4 linked regions of the Callithrix jacchus genome follow. The protein of the gene in region 1 purifies or fractionates together with the protein of each later gene. This does not show direct contact. Links are inferred from orthologs where the notes say so. Each region holds a gene or a part of one and is shown in the gene's direction. Other genes may lie near its edges.

Region 1 (5,138 bases):
TAGCGTCAAGGGACCTGGATAGAAATCTTGGCTTTGCCACTGTCTGAGACATCTTTAGAACTGGCTTTCCATCTACTCATTCACTTAGTAGATATGAATTAAGTCTAATTATGTGCCAGGCACTGTGTTAGAGGATGGAAATACAAAGAGCAAGACCAAGTCTCTCAATTCAAGGAATTCACATTCCACTGGAAAGGTGGGGGCAGGAGTACAGCTTACATCACCTACAGGTCCAGGTTCCCTATCTCTAAAATCTTAGGACAACCTCTAGGTTCAATTTTAATGTGTTGGGTCTGTTAAATTTAGCATTTGATCAAAGCTCAGAACAGAGCAAAAGTCTCCCACCACCTCTGGCTCTCCCTTACAAAGGCAGGCATTACAAAAAGACTCGGTAGAAGCATTTTCTTTAGTTTGTCTTGCCCTAGAATGCAGGTCACGACTTTCTCCACTGCTTTTGACCTCTGGCTAGCAATTGTACCTATTTTCAAAAGGCCCTAAGTGATAATGCTTTTGGTATTCTGAGAACGGCTGTTTATGAAAGGCTTCCTTGCTTTCGCCTAAGTCAGATATTTACCAGGTGGCATAGGTCAGAGGTGCAGAAAAGTTTGTTTTGTCTTAGCAGGGCAGGAGGATCCACTAGAGGACTCACTCTTAACAGGTGAGTCCAAGGAAGCGCCTACAAAAGACGCAGTGGTGAAACTAGCTGGGCACCTGTAATCCCTACCCAAGGCAAGGCTGAGGAAGGGGGATCGCTTGGACCCTGGAGGTCGAGGCATGATGGCGTCACTGCATTCAGCCTAGATGGCTAAGCAAGACCTTGCCTCAAAAAGAAAAAAAAAGGTAAAAGATGTGGTAGTGCCAGGCGTGGTGGCTTGGGCCTGTAATCAATCCTAACACTTTGGGAGGTTGAGGCGGGAAACAGCTTAAGGCCAGGAGTTCCATACCAGACTGGGCAACTGAAGTGAGGCCCTCGCCTTAAAAAAAAAATTAGCTGGGTGAGGTGGTGCACGCCTGTGGTTTCCAGCTACTCTGGAGGCTGAGGCTGGAAGATCGCTTGAGCCACGGGAGGTCAAGGGTGCAGTGGGCTCTGACTGAGCCACTGCACTACAGCCTGGGCGACAGAAGGGACCCTCATCTCTAAAAAAAATAAAGAAAAAAAGAAAAGAAGCAGTGGTGAACGCAAGCAGGTATGGTAGCCCAATACCATGGGGAGGCCAAACAGGCTTTAAGGCAGCATTCCGTCCTCCACACCCAGCCCGGAAGCTTTCCTGCCACACAAGCTTTCCAAGCATGCTAGCTCGCCCCAAGCAGCGCCCATCCCGCAGCATCCACTGCAGCCACCGCAGAGAGCGGCGCAGCTTAGAAACCCGTCCCCAGGTGGGGAAAACGGTCCGCGGGAGTCACGTGGGCGGGAGGCCCAGCCAGAAATCTCAAGACTGCGCAGGCCCCTGAGCCTCAGCGCCCCCGGCTCCGCCCCGCCCGCGCGCGAGTGCGCGCGCGCGCGCGGGGGACTACGCCCGTGACGTCGGCGGGGCACAGCGGAGCGGGACAGGAGGCGGGGCGCGGGCCGGAGTGGGTGGGGCGAGTCGGTGCTGCTGAATCGGGCGCCCGGACGAGTCGCGCATTCCAGCGGGGTCATGTGACGCGGCCGCGAGGCCTGAGGTAAACAACCGCGGCCCCGCCTCCCGGGCCTCCGCGCGCCCCGCGCTCCTCCTTGTCGGCGAGACGCGCTCTAGCGGGGTGGGTAGCTTCTTCCGAGAGTCCCCTGCGGCCGCCGCAGCAACTGCAGCGGGCAAGGCGCCCAGGGTCTGCAGGCCGAGCGCACCGGCAGGGGTCGAGCGCGCGTCCCGTCCCCGCCCTCCCCCCACGCTGTGGCGCAGCAGGAATTTGGCCGGGACCCGGGAGCTATTCGCGGCTGCTGACGCGCGGCGGCCGGCGACCGGGCGCTCATCTCTATTCTGGGGCCGTTTGGTCACCGCGCTCCGCCGGCCCCCTCCCCCGGGCCCGGAGGGTGTGTCCCCCGCTCGGGGGCTCGCCGCGCCTATAAGGGGCCGAGCGGCGGGCAGGGACATGCAGCTCTACAGCAGCGTCTGCACCCACTACCCCGCCGGGGCCCCGGGTCCCACGGCCGCAGCCCCCGCGCCGCCTGCAGCCACCGCCGCCGCCCCCTTCAAGGTCTCGCTGCAGCCCCCGGGAACCGCCGGCGCCGAGCCCGAGACCGGTGAGTGCCAGCCCGCCGCGGCCACAGAGCCCCGGGAAGCCGCCGCTGTCCCCGCCGCCAAGATGCCTGCCTTCTCCTCTTGCTTCGAAGTGGTGTCCGGGGCCACCGCGCCCGGATCCGCAGCCGCCGGCCCGCCCAGCGCGTCCTGCAAGCCGCCACTGCCGCCGCACTACACTTCCACCGCGCAGATCACCGTGCGGGCCCTGGGCGCCGACAGGCTCCTGCTGCACGGGCCCGAGCCCGCTCCCGGCGCCGCGGGCTCTGCGGCCGCCCCGCGCGGCCGCTGCCTCCTGCTGGCCCCGGCGCCCGCAGCCCCCATCCCGCCGCGACGGGGCTCTTCCGCCTGGCTCCTGGAGGAGCTGCTGCGGCCCGACTGCCCCGAGACGGGCTTGGAGGCGGCCCGGGAGGGGCCCGATCGGAACTTCCGACTGAGCGAGCACTGCCAGGCCCTGGCCGCTGCCAAGCATCGAGGCCTCGCGCCCACCCCGGGGAGTCCCGACGCCGGCCCCGGTCCGTGGGGCGAGGAGCACCTGGCGGAGAGGGGCCCCCGGGCCTGGGAGAGGGGCGGCGACCGCTGCGACGCGCCTGGCGGGAACGCGGCTCGGAGGCCCGACCCGGAGGCCGAGGTGTCTCCCGGCCGGAGCAGCGAGGCTGCCCCGAGCAGCGCGGTGGAGCCGGTGGTTGTCCCCAGGTCGGATCCCAGAGACGAGAAGCTGGCCCTGTACCTGGCCGAGGTGGAGAAGCAGGATAAATACCTGCGGCAGAGAAATAAGTATCGATTCCACATCATTCCCGACGGCAACTGCCTGTACCGAGCTGTCAGCAAGACTGTGTACGGCGACCAGAGCCTGCACCGAGAGCTGAGGGAGCAGACCGTGCACTACATCGCCGACCATCTCGACCACTTCAACCCCCTGATTGAGGGCGACGTAGGGGAGTTTCTCATCGCTGCTGCCCAAGACGGGGCATGGGCTGGGTACCCCGAGTTGCTGGCCATGGGGCAGATGCTGAATGTGAATATCCACTTAACTACTGGAGGGAGGCTGGAGAGCCCCACGGTGTCTACCATGATTCATTATTTGGGCCCAGAGGATTCCCTGAGGCCCAGTATTTGGCTCAGTTGGCTCAGTAACGGACACTATGATGCTGTATTTGATCACTCCTATCCTAACCCAGAGTACGACAACTGGTGCAAACAAACTCAAGTGCAGAGGAAACGCGATGAAGAACTTGCCAAATCTATGGCCATATCCCTGTCTAAAATGTATATTGAACAAAACGCATGCTCTTGAAGTGTCTCAAAACCTTAACACCCTGGGAAAATTGCATACATAACTTGTGTTTGGAGAATCACGTGAACTCTAATCAGGGTAATAGCACTTTCAAACTTCCTAGTAGATTTTACTGTAGGTGTAATGCCTTAATCATCTTTTTGAATGTTTTCTCAGAGCTGAAGGTTGCTGGGCACCCAAATGATGTTTCATGATAGCTTAGGGTGATTTTACTGCTATTTATAATTTGCTGTATAAAGTGAGCACTACTTAATTTGCAAGCTGTTTTCTCACAGTGTAAATTTGTTCATTCCTGGTAGTCTATTTTCTATAAAAATGTATTTTTGCACAACATTTTTAAAAACTGGTGTACCTTCATCTATGACGTGTCCCATTTTGACAGCTTTCAAGCATAAATCCAGAGAAGTGCTTTATATGAAATGTATTATTTTGAACAGAGTTTGTGATTTGGTAGTTCTTACGTTGTTGAAATTTGATTTTCACAATTCTTAGATAATTATTTCAGATGGATATTGATGTATTCTTGTTACCAAGTGTTTGGCCCATTCCATTTTGATGAAACAAATCTGTTCTGTTGGAAATAATTATTTTTCTAGAAATGGTGAATCTTTTAAAGAGAAATACTTAACAGAAGGTTGTGGGAAGGTTTTTTTTCTTCTTTTAAGGGATAGTACCAGGTCTTACTTGAATGAAAGTCTGATATTTGCCGATGACAGAGTGATTATTCTGTACCCTGGTTAATGTGTAAATTGTCTGGTGCTCTCAGTTTTATTTACATTTGTCACTTTGTTATAAGAGAATCTAACTTGGTATAAAATTTTGTGACAAGATAAGCCTCCTGCTTTATATAACTTCTTGGATCCAGCTAAGAGATTTATAAACTAATGTCATAAATGTCTGGAGCCAACCTTGGCAGTTATAGCAGGAGAACACTGTCTTAGTATTTCTTTTACATTCTTTCAAAAGGCAAAAAAGGATTGCCCTGTATTAACTTAGAAATGTCTGTAAACAGAGCTTGTGTGGTTTGCTGGGTCAAACAATGTTTCCCACTTAAAATCTATCTCATTGCCACTTTAACTACTTTTAGTCATATTTATTAAGTAATGCAGTTTGTACTTTTTTATTTTGTAACATTTTGTGATTTTTTTGTACAAAACTGTATTTGTACAATAGAGCAATTCCCAGCTGATGGAATGAATGAATAAAATGCAAAATTATACTTTTACAGTGCTTTCATGGATAGTGTTTTTTAAATTCTGATTCTTGAAGGAAACTTTCTTACACATGTGCATATACACAGTTCTTTTTTTCCATAAAGATGCCACAGCAATAGAGAAGTTTCCTAAATTCTCACATGAAGAGGACAGGCTAATCATGAGTAATTTCAAAGGATGAGTCTGAATAAAATATAATTTAAAGGTGGAGTAATCCAAGAAATTGCTCTCATTATTTCTAATTATAATTCCTGTTTACAATTCTAGCTGTACCTATTGGCTAATGAAAAAGGAAGTGCAAGTTTTGTGTCAGCCAGCAGCATGTCTAATTAAATGTCATATTTTTGTATTCCACTCTCAGTATAGATTTTAACGGATAAAAGAGTAACCAAAGAGATGCACTCATTTTTG
Region 2 (4,160 bases), on another chromosome or scaffold:
GAGAGAATTGAGAAGCAGTGATCCAGACTCTCCTGAACAAGGAGCTTCTGTATTGGCCGGAGGGGCTTGTCAGTGAAAGCCTCTCTTCATGTTGTGCTTTAAAAGAAACCAAACCCCAAGTCCTCACTCTTTAGTGGTATGAGATTTGGCACAATCAGGTGTCCTGGTCAAAGCATAGATTCAAATACTGTGGGTATCCGCCCTAGACAGTGGACAGTGGCTAGCTCAACGACGCTGTTGTTTTGTCTCTGGGAAGACCTATCTTAAGGAAGAAAACAAGAAAACCTGAACTTTTTAGGTTGTGTTTTTACTTTTCTTTCTTTCAGTTGTCATTTTTATTATTTTGCTTCAGGTAAATCTCAAGAACGCAGCCTGAGAGCCTTAGCTTCAGACTGGCTATCCTCCATGGGTCCCAGGCAGGGAGGAACTGGGCTGAGTAGTTCTTCAGCTGCCTTTCATTCCATTCGGCAGATCATAGTGCCAGGTTTTCTTTAGATGGGAGGCACCGCTCTTGGAATGGACTTCTCTCCCACACATGTCTCTTTCATTAACTCCAAGACCTTATTCCTTGACCTTAGCTCAAGTTATTTAACCTCTGTGTCCTTTTGCCAGAGGTATTTCAAGGGCAAGGTGCTCTTTAAGAAGGAGGAAGCAAGACATATTATGGATATGTAGGTCCTTTTCCTGTGTAATTCTTATGTATTGCATACTCCTTAATTCTGATCTCTCCTAGTAACCTAGTAAGTGGATTCAGGTCACCAGTCTGTCCACTGGACAGTATTATTTGGAGCCTGGTGGTTCTCAGAAGACGAGGTTCCCCCCTCCCTTGCCACCCTTTCCTTCCCCTCTTATCTTTCTCTAGGAAGAAATGCCTCCACTATGGTTTTTCCATATGGAAGTGCCTTCTGCTTTGGCTAAAGTGTCTAATAACACTGTTCAATAGAACTTTCTGCTGCGATGGAAATGTTTCATCTCTGCTCTGTCCAGTACATTAGCCACTAGCCACATGTCGCTTTTGAACCCATGAAACATGGTGAGTACCGATGAAGAACTGAATTTTATATCTTACTCAGTTTGAAATGATGTTCATTTACATGGCTATCTGTGGCTAGTGGCTACTGTATTTGGACCATGCAGTTCTAGAATGTTCCTCAGAGGACAAGAACCAGCCTTTTGCAGTTTGAAGAAATCCAGATACCAGGAAATATCCATAGCATAAATTTAAAAGGAGGTAATAAGGGAAGGAAGTTTTGGGTCAGACTGACCCAGTGCCCAGAAGCTGGCAAGGAAGACTTTATTCCTTGGCTTTGTCAGTGGAGAGGGGCTGGAGAAGGCCAGAGTTTACTGAGGGGCATAGAGAAATAAATCCTCTAGAAGTAGCTTGAAGCAGGCCTCAAAAGACTGTTGTCTTTTCGAATTTCCCAAGCTTGTAATAACTAAAGTTTTGATTGTGCTTCTGTGTTTGTTTGTTTTGGGGGCTGGCCACAGGAACTGGTATCCGATCAGAGAGTGAGACAGAGTCCGAGGCCTCAGAAATTACTATTCCTCCCAGCACTCCGGGAGTTCCACAGGCCCCCGTCCAGGGGGAGGACTACGGCAAAGGTGTCGTCTTTTACCTCAGGGACAAAGTGGTCGTGGGGATTGTGCTATGGAACATCTTTAACCGAATGCCAATAGCAAGGAAGGTAGGTGCCCGTCATAGCTCTTAGAGGAAGGTGGGAAGTGCAGGTCAGAAAGACTCCTGTAACTTCATCAGGTGCCCTGAGATACATTGTACCCCCAGGTCAAATTGTGCCTAAGCAGAACAAAGGTATAGCCTTGGCTCAGGAACATTCTTTTTCACCTGGGACTTGGCTGGGTGATCTGGGAGTTGTCAGGCTGCTTGTTTTGGGTTAGTAGAAAGGTGTTCCCACAACTCCCTCCCAGTGTGATATGGTGGCCCCATTGTGTGGGCATGGCCTGAACACACATGGAATGAGTTAGGGACCTATTGTTACTCTCTCCCTCAGATAATTAAGGATGGTGAGCAGCATGAAGATCTCAATGAAGTCGCCAAACTATTCAACATTCATGAAGACTGAAGTGCCACAGTGGAATTGGCAAACCCGCTGCTGAGGTCGGATGGGTAAAGGAGCATTTTTTAATTCAGCAGACTTTCTCTGTATATGAGTGTGAATGTTCAAGTCCTTTGTGAATATTTTCAACTATGTAGGCAAATTCTTAATGTTCACATAGTGAAATAAATTCTGATTCTTCTAAATTAATTTCTGTTCTGTGGTCAAGGAGGCAGGTGGGTAAAAGAGGAAAACCATGCATATTAGAAAGCAAGCAAATCGCAGCACTGACCAAGCACAGGGTTTTTCTCAGCCGTGTATTCATTCCCTGTTCCACAGGTGAAACTCCTTTCCTTTCCTGAACTTCCCTCACCCCTCCAGACCTCTTTGCACGCACCTACTGTGGCCTCGGCCCACAACACTTGACTCCCCTCCTCTCTTCTCAGGAGGTTCACTATCTCTGAAGATGTTCGCAGCCCTCCAGGCCTCATCCTTGTATATGTGTCTCCCTGCTCGCCCATGACTTCCTGGAAGCAGAAGCCCTGACATTGAGGTCTTGCTCATGGTTTTATCTCCAGAGCTTAGCACAGGCTCTGGCTCATAGTAAGTGCTTCATAAATCATTGTCGAATGAGTAAGCAAATAAATGTATGGAAGAGACTCAGTTTTACCTGGAACAACTCCTGTCCCAGAACTGCATTGGATCCTGCAGGGGACAGGAAGGACACTGACTGCAAATCTGAGTCCAGAGACCTGGTTCTTCACAGTGAAACCTGGAGATGGACTCCTGGAAGGACCATCATTTCTTGACTCTTCTGCCTGTTGTCTTCATACTAGACATCTGCCCTCTCTAACGCACCTTTTCTCTAAAATACACTTGTGGGCATACCTCACTTTAGATTATTTTCCTGGGAATACAATTCAGAGTTTCACAAGTCAACTTGTTGTTTGGCATTTTAGATTGCTTAACTTTTAAAAATCAAATTTTACTTTATTTTATTTTATTGAGATGGAGTCTCGCTCTTGTTGCCCAGGCTGGAGTGCAGGGGTGCGATCTCAGCTCACCACAACCTCCGCCTCCCAGGTTCAAGCAATTCTCCTGCCTCAGCCTCCTGAGTAGCTGGGATTACAGGCATACATCACCACGCCTGGTAAATTTTGTATTTTTAGTAGAGACAGGGTTTCTCCACGTTGGTCAGGCTGATCTCAAACTCCTGACCTCAGGTGATCTGCCCACCTTGGCCTCCCAAAGTGCTGGGATTATAGGCATGAGCCACTGTGCCTGGCCTAAAAAAATCAAATCTTATTTAATAGGAATTTGTTACTACTTTCAAGAGTCCTGTTGTGAAACTCCGTGTATGTAAAGAGAAAATTATTACCAGTCTGGATTTTTTTTAATATTGGGTTTGATCAAGGGCAGTTTCAGCTTCAACCAAATCCTTTCTGAATACTGGGAGAACAGGCCAAATCTCCACTGTAAAAATTAGCAGTTCAGGTATACCAAACAGTAATATATGGATACAGATTTAGTCAGATATGATCATGTCCAAATGACATATCCAAATCCCTATGTAGAAAACTCATCGAAGGCTGAGGATGGTGGCTCATGCCTATAATCCCAGCACTTTGGGAGGCCAAAGTGGGTGGATCACCTGAGGTCAGGAGTTCGAGACTAGCCTGGCCAACGTGGTGAAACCCTGTCCTCTCTACTAAAAATACAAAAATTAGCCAGGTGTAGTGGCATGTGCCTGTAGTCGCAGCTACTCAGGAGGCGGAGACAGGAGAATTGCCTGAACCTGGGAGGTGGAGGTTGTGGTGAGCTGAGGTCGCACCATTGCACTCCAACCTGGGTGACACAGTGAAACTCCATCTCAAAAAGAGAGAAAGAAAGAAAAAAAGAGAAAACTCAGGCCAGGCGTGGTGGCTCATGCCTGTAATCTCAGCACTTTGGGAGGCCGAGGCAGATCACAAGGTCAGGAGTTCGAGACCAGCCTGACCAACATGGTGAAACCCCATCTCTACTAAAAATACAAACATTAGCTGGGCGTGGTGGCGTGCACCTGTAATTCCAGTTTACTCAGGAGGCTGAGGCAGGAGAATAGCTTGA
Region 3 (4,341 bases), on another chromosome or scaffold:
AGGGCTACCCAGCCTTCCTCTTCCTCAGTCCCAGCCCTGCTCCAGATCATGGGCCCTCGCTTCTGGGCCAGCTGGAGCCAGCCTCCTCCTGGTTCCCCATAGGCCCCCAAGGTGGGTGGTGGACTTTTGCTGTGGCAGCTGTGGAGCAAACTCATCTAGCTGTTCTCCAGAGCTGCCCATCTGCAGGCTGGGTCTGCCTTCTGCCCTTCCTCTGGGCTGGGGCTTCTGGCAGTAATCACGCCCTGCTATCATCATGTGTCTGTGGGTGTCTCCCTTCACCCCAAAGTCTTCTTCACCTCTGAACACCCCCTGGGTCCCTGGACAGAGAGGGCCTGATCTGCATCCTACCACTGGCCAAGAGTGGGTGTCTCCCTCCTCCTTGCTCCCCACCCCACCCCGAGCTGCCAGACCGTGACCCTGCAGCCTGTGAGCGGCCCTTCCCGCACAGCTGGGTTCCTGGCACTGCCACTCTTCTACTCACAGACAGCAAGGCCATCGTGGACGGGAACCTGAAGCTGATCCTGGGCCTCATCTGGACTCTGATCCTGCACTATTCCATCTCCATGCCCATGTGGGATGAGGAGGAGGATGAGGAGGCCAAGAAGCAGACCCCCAAGCAGAGACTCCTGGGCTGGATCCAGAACAAGCTGCCACAGCTGCCCATCACCAACTTCAGCCGCGACTGGCAGAGTGGCCGGGCCCTGGGTGCCCTGGTCGACAGCTGTGCACCAGGTAAGGGGGCGCAGAGGCAGGGGAGACTGGGCTGGGGTTGCCCATGGATGGCCCTTGAGGGGTTTCTGTGGACCCCAGACTCACAGCCTTCCTTGTGCTGCAGGCCTGTGTCCTGACTGGGACTCCTGGGATGCCAGCAAGCCTGTGAACAATGCGCGGGAGGCTATGCAGCAGGCTGACGACTGGCTGGGCATCCCTCAGGTATACCCGCTGGGCCCTGCCTGCGGCTGTAGGGGACCAATCGGTAGCGGGGAGAGATTCGAAGGATGCTGTTTTCTGCCCCTGACAGGTGATCACCCCCGAGGAGATTGTGGACCCCAATGTGGACGAACACTCTGTCATGACCTACCTGTCCCAGTTCCCCAAGGCCAAGCTGAAGCCAGGGGCTCCCTTGCGGCCCAAGCTGAACCCGAAGAAAGCCCGTGCCTATGGGCCAGGTGAGTGAGGTCCCGAGAAGTCTTGGGTTACATGGCAGCTAGGTGATCAAGCCACCCGAGAGTCAGACAAGAGGAGGTTGGGACTAAAAACACTCCACTGAGTAGACACGAGAATACCAGAGGTTCCTTCAGTCATAGAAGCCTGCTGCATGGGGTCCAGTGGGCTTTATTATAAATGGAGCTGAAGCAGGTCTCGGTAACAGGGCCCAGTGCGGTGAGAATCAGTGTTCCAGAAAACAGGCACGGGCCTGTCCCAGCAGCAAGAGCACAGCTGGGTCCCGAGGCCAGGCTCTGTGCCACGGCTTACACTGAATGAACTTGCCCAGTTTGGAATGTGCCCGACTTGGGGGCCAGCAGGGAGGGGCATTGAGCCTGCAGAGGCCTGGGGGCTGGTACAGCACTGGTCCTCTACCCGTCTGCCTTCACGTTTGGGTGGAGGGGTGAGGCTGTGACCCTAACAGCTGGCCCGTGGCTGGCTCACACTCTCCTGCCAGGCATTGAGCCCACAGGCATCATGGTGAAGAAGCGGGCTGAGTTCACTGTGGAGACCAGAAGTGCCGGCCAGGGAGAGGTGCTGGTGTATGTGGAGGACCCGGCAGGACACCAGGAGGAGGTAGGGCCCCCTGCTGGCAGCTGAGGGCCCAGCAGTGCTCCCTTTCGGTGGGACTGCTCTTAGCAAAGGCTCATGGGCTCCTTCCTACCGCAGGCCAAAGTGACTGCCAATAACGACAAAAACCGCACCTTCTCCGTCTGGTATGTCCCCGAGGTGACGGGGACTCATAAGGTGAGCCCTTGGATAGTGGGGAGGCTTGTGACCTCAGGCGGTGGCTCGAGGCCCCAGCCCCACGCTCACGGCCCACCCTTCTGGGGATAGGTCACTGTGCTCTTTGCTGGCCAGCACATTGCCAAGAGCCCCTTTGAGGTGTCCGTGGATAAGTCACAGGGTGACGCCAGCAAAGTGACTGCACAAGGCCCTGGCCTGGAACCCAGTGGCAACATTGCCAACAAGACCACCTACTTCGAGATCTTCACAGCAGGTGAGGGGAGGCTGCCAAGGCCTGGCTGGTCTTTGGGGAGAGCTGCACTGGGGCCTGGGAGCTGAGTGGGTGCCTCATGGCAGGCGCTGGCACGGGCGAGGTCGAGGTTGTAATCCAGGACCCCATGGGACAGAAGAGCACCGTGGAGCCTCAGCTGGAGGCCCGGGGTGACAGCACCTACCGCTGCAGCTACCAGCCCACCATGGAGGGCGTCCACACGGTGCACGTCACATTCGCCGGTGTGCCCATCCCTCGCAGCCCCTACACTGTCACTGTTGGCCAAGGTAGGCCTGGCCCTGGACAACCTCTGCTGTGGCACTGCAGCCTGGGCCTCCCACATGAGGGGGAGCCCCCTGGGCCAGTCTTGCTGCAGCCCACCCCGGGACCCCATCTTTGAGCTTCACTATCTGGGCACCTGCTGTCTTTCCTCCCCTGCTGGGGCCCTTCCTCCTCTCCTCTCGGCTCCTCGCCCCTCCATCTCTCTCCTCTCCATGCTTTCACCTTCGGAAGAGCTCGCTCCAGCTGTCTAGAAACCTACCTGCTGCCCTCTGCTCTGCCCACAGGGTCAACGGTACTTGGATCTGTCTTCTTCTTGGAGGGGAGGGCTGGGGCCTCTGGGCTGGCATGGGGCAGGTGGGAGGAGGCCTGGCCCAAGCCACAGTTCCTGGGGTCACAGTCCCTTCCAGTTCTTTCTTGCATGTCCCTCTCCAATCCTGACAGCCTGGCCCTGTGGGAGGCCGGGGAAGGGGTGCCCAGCCCAGCTGCCAGCGCTCAGCTGGCCCCTCTGCCTACAGCCTGTAACCCGAGTGCCTGCCGGGCTGTTGGCCGGGGCCTTCAGCCCAAGGGTGTTCGAGTGAAGGAGACAGCTGACTTCAAGGTGTACACAAAGGGTGCTGGCAGTGGGGAGCTGAAGGTCACTGTGAAGGGCCCCAGTAAGTTGGCCTGGAGCTAGGCCAGGGTGGGTGGCGGCAGCCCCCAGGGTCACTGCTGTGCAGGCCTGAGGTCCTCCTTGTCTTGGCAGAGGGAGAGGAGCGTGTGAAGCAGAAGGACCTGGGGGATGGTGTGTATGGCTTCGAGTATTACCCCATGGTCCCTGGGACCTACATCGTCACCATCACGTGGGGCGGTCAGAACATCGGGCGCAGGTGAGAACCCCAAGCGTCCCTCTCACAGCTCTGTGCACTGTCTCTTCCTCTGCCTCCCCACCTGATGAGCCCAGGTGGGCTGTCCAGCAGCGTGGTGATCCTCGGTGTTCCCTGTGTGGCTCTCCCATTCGCAGTCCCTGTGAGGTGAAGGTGGGCACGGAGTGTGGCAATCAGAAGGTGCGGGCCTGGGGCCCTGGGCTGGAGGGCGGCGTTGCTGGCAAGTCAGCAGACTTTGTGGTGGAGGCTATTGGGGACGACGTGGGCACCCTGGGTAAGTTGGAGACTGCAGCATGGGCACAGACGGTGGCGAGGACAGCCCACCCTGAGGCTCCAGGGCACTGAGGGGACTGGTGGCTGTTGTCAGGGTTCTCGGTGGAAGGTCCATCTCAGGCCAAGATCGAATGTGATGACAAGGGTGACGGCTCCTGTGACGTGCGCTACTGGCCGCAGGAGGCTGGCGAGTATGCTGTTCACGTGCTGTGCAACAGTGAGGACATCCGCCTCAGCCCCTTCATGGCTGACATCCGCGACGCACCCCAGGACTTCCACCCAGACAGGGTAAAGGGCAGCCAGTGATGGCCTCAGTCTCAGCCTGCTGCTTCTGCTTGGGGGGCCCAGTGAGGGTGGCACAAGCCCCTTCCAATCAGCCAGGCGGGGGGTCCTGGGTACAGGCCCTGGGCTGGTATTCCCAGCAGTGTTCCTGGCACTGTGTCTCTGGCCACCCTGCCTGGGTTGTAGCTCTGGTGGCCTAGATCTGTTCCCCTAAGATCTGGCTGGTCTCCCACTAGGTGAAGGCACGTGGGCCAGGATTGGAGAAGACAGGTGTGGCCGTCAACAAGCCGGCAGAGTTCACAGTGGATGCCAAGCACGGTGGCAAGGCCCCGCTCCGGGTCCAAGTCCAGGTACAGCGCCCGTGGGTGTTGGGGGCAGGGCAGGCATGGGTACCCAGGCCTGGGCACTGAGCAGCAGGCCGCCTGCTCCTACCCACCT
Region 4 (4,341 bases), on another chromosome or scaffold:
GAATGTTCAGAGGACAGCCTAGAGCGGGTCAGGGTGGAGCCCAGCCAGAGGGAGGATGTGGAGGAGGCAGATAGGCAGTGGGGGTCGATAGGACAGCCCCTCCAGGTCAATGCCAGGAACCCACTCTGGCCTCCTAGCCCCTTTTTTTTCATTTAAAAAAAAACAAAAAACCCTTTTTTTTTTTAAATGAAAAAAAATGAAATGGCTGGGCGCAGTAACTCATGCCTGCAATCCCAACACTTTGGGAGGCCAAGGTGGGTAGATCACCTCAGATCAGGAGTTCGAGACCAGCCTGACCAACATAGAGAAACCCCGTCTTTACTAAAAATACAAAATTAGCTGGATGTGGTGGCGGGCACCTGTAATCCCAGTTACTGGTGAGGTGAGGCAAGGGAATTGCTTGAACCCGGTGGCGGAAGTTGTGGTGAGCTGAGATCTCGCCATGGCACTCCAGCCTGGGCAACAAGAGCAAAACTCCGTCTCAGAAAAAAAAAAAATTATTTCCACATTTTTAGGAAGGCCTTATCTTTCAGGCCTGGGACCCACATGAGTGAGGTTTGCCCGGCCTCAGTCTGCAGTCAAGTTCGTTTATTCTTGTGTGTGCTTTCTTAGCAAGTTCCTAGGCCTGTTCCCATGTTGGTGTGACCTCCCTGTGGGCATTTCAAAGGCAGGAAGGTCTCCTCCTCCGTGACTCTTCAGCATCAGGGGGACCCTCCCAGGTGGTGGGCAGGAGCTGATGTCCTTCTCTTCACAGGGAGCCCATTCCGGGTGCCGGTGAAGGATGTGGTGGACCCCGGGAAAGTGAAATGCTCAGGCCCAGGGCTGGGGGCCGGTGTCAGGGCCCGGGTCCCCCAGACGTTCACCGTGGACTGCAGTCAGGCTGGCCGGGCACCTCTGCAGGTGGCTGTGCTGGGTCCCACAGGTATAGAATGGCCGGGGCAGGGAGGAGGGAAGTTGGGGGGGGCTGTCCGGAGGCTCTGCTGACCCTGCGCCCTTGTCCAGGTGTGGCCGAGCCTGTGGAGGTGCGGGACAATGGAGATGGCACCCACACTGTCCACTACACCCCAGCCACAGATGGGCCCTACACGGTAGCCGTCAAATATGCTGACCAGGAGGTGCCACGCAGGTGAGGACCAGCGCTGGGCTCCCGTGCTGCAGCTGAGCTCTGAGGTGCTCCTGCTGGGGCGGCACTGCAGGGTCACTGCTGGGGGCCCCTGGGAGAGCCCCTCCCGCTGTCAGCCTCATCCAGTCTCCCTGCCCTATCTAGCTCTTCCCCAGGGCTCTGCCCTGAGGCTGTCTTGCCCCAGGAGCTTTTACAGCAAAACTAGCGCCTTAGGAAATGAGCAGGAGGCCTGGGCCAGGGCCTCCCCCCAGGCCCTCCCATAGCACCTTCCTGGGGAATGGAGAAGTGCCCTGTCTCTGTCACAGGAGTCCCAGAGTGGCCCTGCCCCCAGACTCAGAATGTAATCAGCTTCTGGGAACTGGTCCCTCCTCCCTGGTCCACAGTCCTCCTTCCTGCCCATGTCTATGGGTAGGAATCTGGTTCAAGATGAAATCACCCCCTACCCTGTCCATAGCCCCAGTCAACTATCTATCCCTTCTGCTCCTCAAGCCCCTTCAAGATCAAAGTCCTTCCAGCTCATGATGCCAGCAAGGTGCGGGCCAGTGGCCCCGGCCTCAACGCCTCTGGCATCCCTGCCAGCCTGCCGGTGGAGTTCACCATCGATGCACGGGATGCGGGCGAGGGGTTGCTCACTGTCCAGATCCTGGTGAGTCCCTGCACAGCCCACCCCCCAGGTCATGCTCCAGGCACAGGTGGACCTTGACCTCTTCTTCTCCCTCAGGACCCCGAGGGTAAGCCCAAGAAGGCCAACATCCGGGACAATGGGGATGGCACATATACCGTGTCCTACCTGCCAGACATGAGCGGTCGGTACACCATCACCATCAAATATGGCGGCGATGAGATCCCCTACTCGCCCTTCCGCATCCATGCTCTGCCCACTGGGGATGCCAGCAAGTGCCTCGTCACAGGTAGGTGTACACCCGCTCCCTGTGCCCTGCTCACCACCCAGCCCCTCAAATCCCCTCCAGAGCCCTGGCCTGGTCCCCAGGGGTCTGCTGGTGAGAGGACACACACGTCCCAGCCCTGGCCCTGCCCTCCCCGACACAATGCCCCAGTCCACACTGAGCACGGCCTGACCTCACACTCTTCTCTTTCCAGTGTCCATTGGAGGCCACGGCCTGGGTGAGTGCCCTTTCTCTCCTCTTCTTGCTGTGGGCCAGGGTGGTTAGCAGTGGGGGGTGGGCAGCCAGGAACAGAGAGGGCTGCCTCCAGACCTCCAGCCTCCTGAGCAGGATCTCCCACATGGCAGGTGCCTGCCTGGGCCCCCGAATCCAGATTGGGCAGGAGACGGTGATCACAGTGGATGCCAAGGCAGCCGGCGAGGGGAAGGTGACATGCACGGTGTCCACACCGGATGGGGCAGAGCTCGATGTGGACGTGGTTGAGAACCATGATGGTACCTTTGACATCTACTACACAGCGCCCGAACCGGGCAAGTACGTCATCACCATCCGCTTCGGGGGCGAGCACATCCCCAACAGCCCCTTCCACGTGCTGGTAAGCTCCAAAGCCACCACAAAAGACTAGCTGGCCGGGGTCGATGGGGGGATGGGGGGACTGGCCCTTTTAGCAGCAGCAGGGATCCCAGATAACTGTCCCCAAGGAATACCACTTTGAGGGCTCCTGGGGCCAGAGGGCTCCAGGATGGAGCCTTAGCTTTCCCCACAGTCCCCCGAAGTGGGAGGAGAACAGGGCCCTGCCCCCTGCCGGAACCTGCTGTGTGTTCCACCATCCCCAGCTCCGGCTCCCCAGAGGCTGCCCTGCAGGAGGATGAAGCCCTCCAAGAGGCGAGCACCCAAGACATCACCCAGCATTTCAGATTCCTGGGCCATTCTCTGAGTCAGCCCCTGGGCCTGTGAGCCTACCACACCCTGTGCCCCCTTGCCTTGCCTCCCCAGGCGTGTGACCCCCTGCTGCATGAGGAGGAGCCCTCTGAAGTGCCGCAGCTGCACCAGCCCTATGCTCCTCCCCACCAGCCCTACGGTTCTCCCAGGCCTGGTGCCCGCCCCACACATTGGGTATTGCGCCTTCCACTGGGCAATGTCCTCCTTCTCCTCCTCCCTTTCCTTCATTTCTCATCTCTAATCTTCTGTAGCCAGGGCTGAAGCGTGGTCTGGGGGCCTCCTGGGGAACAGGCAGGGCTCAGGCTGGGCAGATGGAGCCCCGCTTGGGCACCGCACTCCTTCTCTTGCAGCTGACGCACCTCTCTTGCCATGCTGGTCTCACCATTAACTACCTTGTTCTTTCCTCACTCTCCAACTTCAGTCATGGCACAGGCCAAGCTCCCGGGCCTTCCCCAGTCACTGACTGTTCCCTCTTACCTGCCACAGGCCACAGAGGAGCCAGTGGTGCCTGCAGAGCCAATGGAGTCCATGCTGAGGCCCTTCAACCTGGTCATCCCCTTCACGGTGCAGAAAGGGGAGCTTACAGGTACTGCCCTGTGGCCCCCAGGCATGCCCTGTGTCTTAGAGATGAAAACCGAGGCCCAGAGAGAGGAAGCGAGCTCTACCCAGGGCCACATAGCAGGTTGAGCAGAGCCAGAACTCGGGTGCAAACCATCTGTCCCCCAGTTCAGGGCTCAGGCAACTGCCACAGGCTGTCTCCTGGTGCCTGGCCTCCCAGGTGGCAACAGAAGCACTCAGGTGCAGGCCTGGGACAGCAGGGAGGTTGCAGTGGGGGAAACCAGGGTCCCCACGTAACTGCATCTCCCTGCAGGGGAGGTGCGGATGCCCTCTGGGAAGACAGCACGGCCCAACATTACCGACAACAAGGACGGCACCATCACGGTGAGGTACGCGCCCACCGAGAAAGGCCTGCACCAGATGGGGATCAAGTACGACGGCAACCACATCCCTGGTGAGCTGGGGGCTGGGCTGGGCTGGGGCTTGGGTGAGAGGAGCTGGCAGCAGCTTCAGTCCTGCCTTCCTTCTTTCAACAAATATTTATTGAGCACCCGCTGTGTGCAGACACCATGCGAGGCCCCAGGGAGGCTCATACCCTGGTGGGAGGCAAACTCCACCAGGTGGGTCCCTACGGCAGAGACAGAGGGGGTTGGCAGGGAGGCTGCTGGAAGGCACTGGGGCCGAAGTGGGCTCAGACATTCTCCGATGCTGACCTGGCCCCCTTTTTCTCTCTGCCCCCAAGGGAGCCCCTTGCAGTTCTATGTGGACGCCATCAACAGCCGCCATGTCAGTGCCTATGGGCCAGGCCTGAGC

The links.
Region 2: the proteins of OTUD1 (region 1) and AIFM1 purify together in Homo sapiens (affinity purification with mass spectrometry; 3 studies listed by BioGRID, with this or other methods). This does not show direct contact. The link is inferred for Callithrix jacchus from reciprocal best matches to the Homo sapiens genes OTUD1 and AIFM1.
Region 3: the proteins of OTUD1 (region 1) and FLNA purify together in Homo sapiens (affinity purification with mass spectrometry; 3 studies listed by BioGRID and IntAct, with this or other methods). This does not show direct contact. The link is inferred for Callithrix jacchus from reciprocal best matches to the Homo sapiens genes OTUD1 and FLNA.
Region 4: the proteins of OTUD1 (region 1) and FLNC purify together in Homo sapiens (affinity purification with mass spectrometry; 3 studies listed by BioGRID and IntAct, with this or other methods). This does not show direct contact. The link is inferred for Callithrix jacchus from reciprocal best matches to the Homo sapiens genes OTUD1 and FLNC.

Annotation. Positions count from the first base shown.
Region 1 is NC_133508.1:23,883,213-23,888,350, forward strand, and holds OTUD1 (OTU domain-containing protein 1), read left to right. Parts: upstream 1-1,687; 5' UTR 1,688-2,070; coding exon 2,071-3,513; 3' UTR 3,514-4,738; downstream 4,739-5,138. UniProt on the Homo sapiens protein: Deubiquitinating enzyme that specifically hydrolyzes 'Lys-63'-linked polyubiquitin to monoubiquitin.
Region 2 is NC_133524.1:125,795,193-125,799,352, reverse strand, and holds the end of AIFM1 (apoptosis-inducing factor 1, mitochondrial), read left to right. Parts: intron 1-1,488; coding exon 1,489-1,685; intron 1,686-2,009; coding exon 2,010-2,081; 3' UTR 2,082-2,125; exon of another isoform or gene 2,126-2,260; intron 2,261-2,500; 3' UTR 2,501-2,993; downstream 2,994-4,160. UniProt on the Homo sapiens protein: Functions both as NADH oxidoreductase and as regulator of apoptosis.
Region 3 is NC_133524.1:150,157,406-150,161,746, reverse strand, and holds part of FLNA (filamin-A), read left to right. Parts: intron 1-483; coding exon 484-732; intron 733-835; coding exon 836-933; intron 934-1,021; coding exon 1,022-1,169; intron 1,170-1,663; coding exon 1,664-1,782; intron 1,783-1,875; coding exon 1,876-1,953; intron 1,954-2,043; coding exon 2,044-2,206; intron 2,207-2,289; coding exon 2,290-2,490; intron 2,491-3,000; coding exon 3,001-3,138; intron 3,139-3,227; coding exon 3,228-3,351; intron 3,352-3,485; coding exon 3,486-3,622; intron 3,623-3,715; coding exon 3,716-3,909; intron 3,910-4,139; coding exon 4,140-4,253; intron 4,254-4,341. UniProt on the Homo sapiens protein: Promotes orthogonal branching of actin filaments and links actin filaments to membrane glycoproteins. Anchors various transmembrane proteins to the actin cytoskeleton and serves as a scaffold for a wide range of cytoplasmic signaling proteins.
Region 4 is NC_133512.1:118,333,335-118,337,675, reverse strand, and holds part of FLNC (filamin-C), read left to right. Parts: intron 1-754; coding exon 755-922; intron 923-1,002; coding exon 1,003-1,126; intron 1,127-1,612; coding exon 1,613-1,769; intron 1,770-1,844; coding exon 1,845-2,034; intron 2,035-2,224; coding exon 2,225-2,248; intron 2,249-2,375; coding exon 2,376-2,623; intron 2,624-3,024; coding exon 3,025-3,144; intron 3,145-3,456; coding exon 3,457-3,556; intron 3,557-3,841; coding exon 3,842-3,982; intron 3,983-4,270; coding exon 4,271-4,341.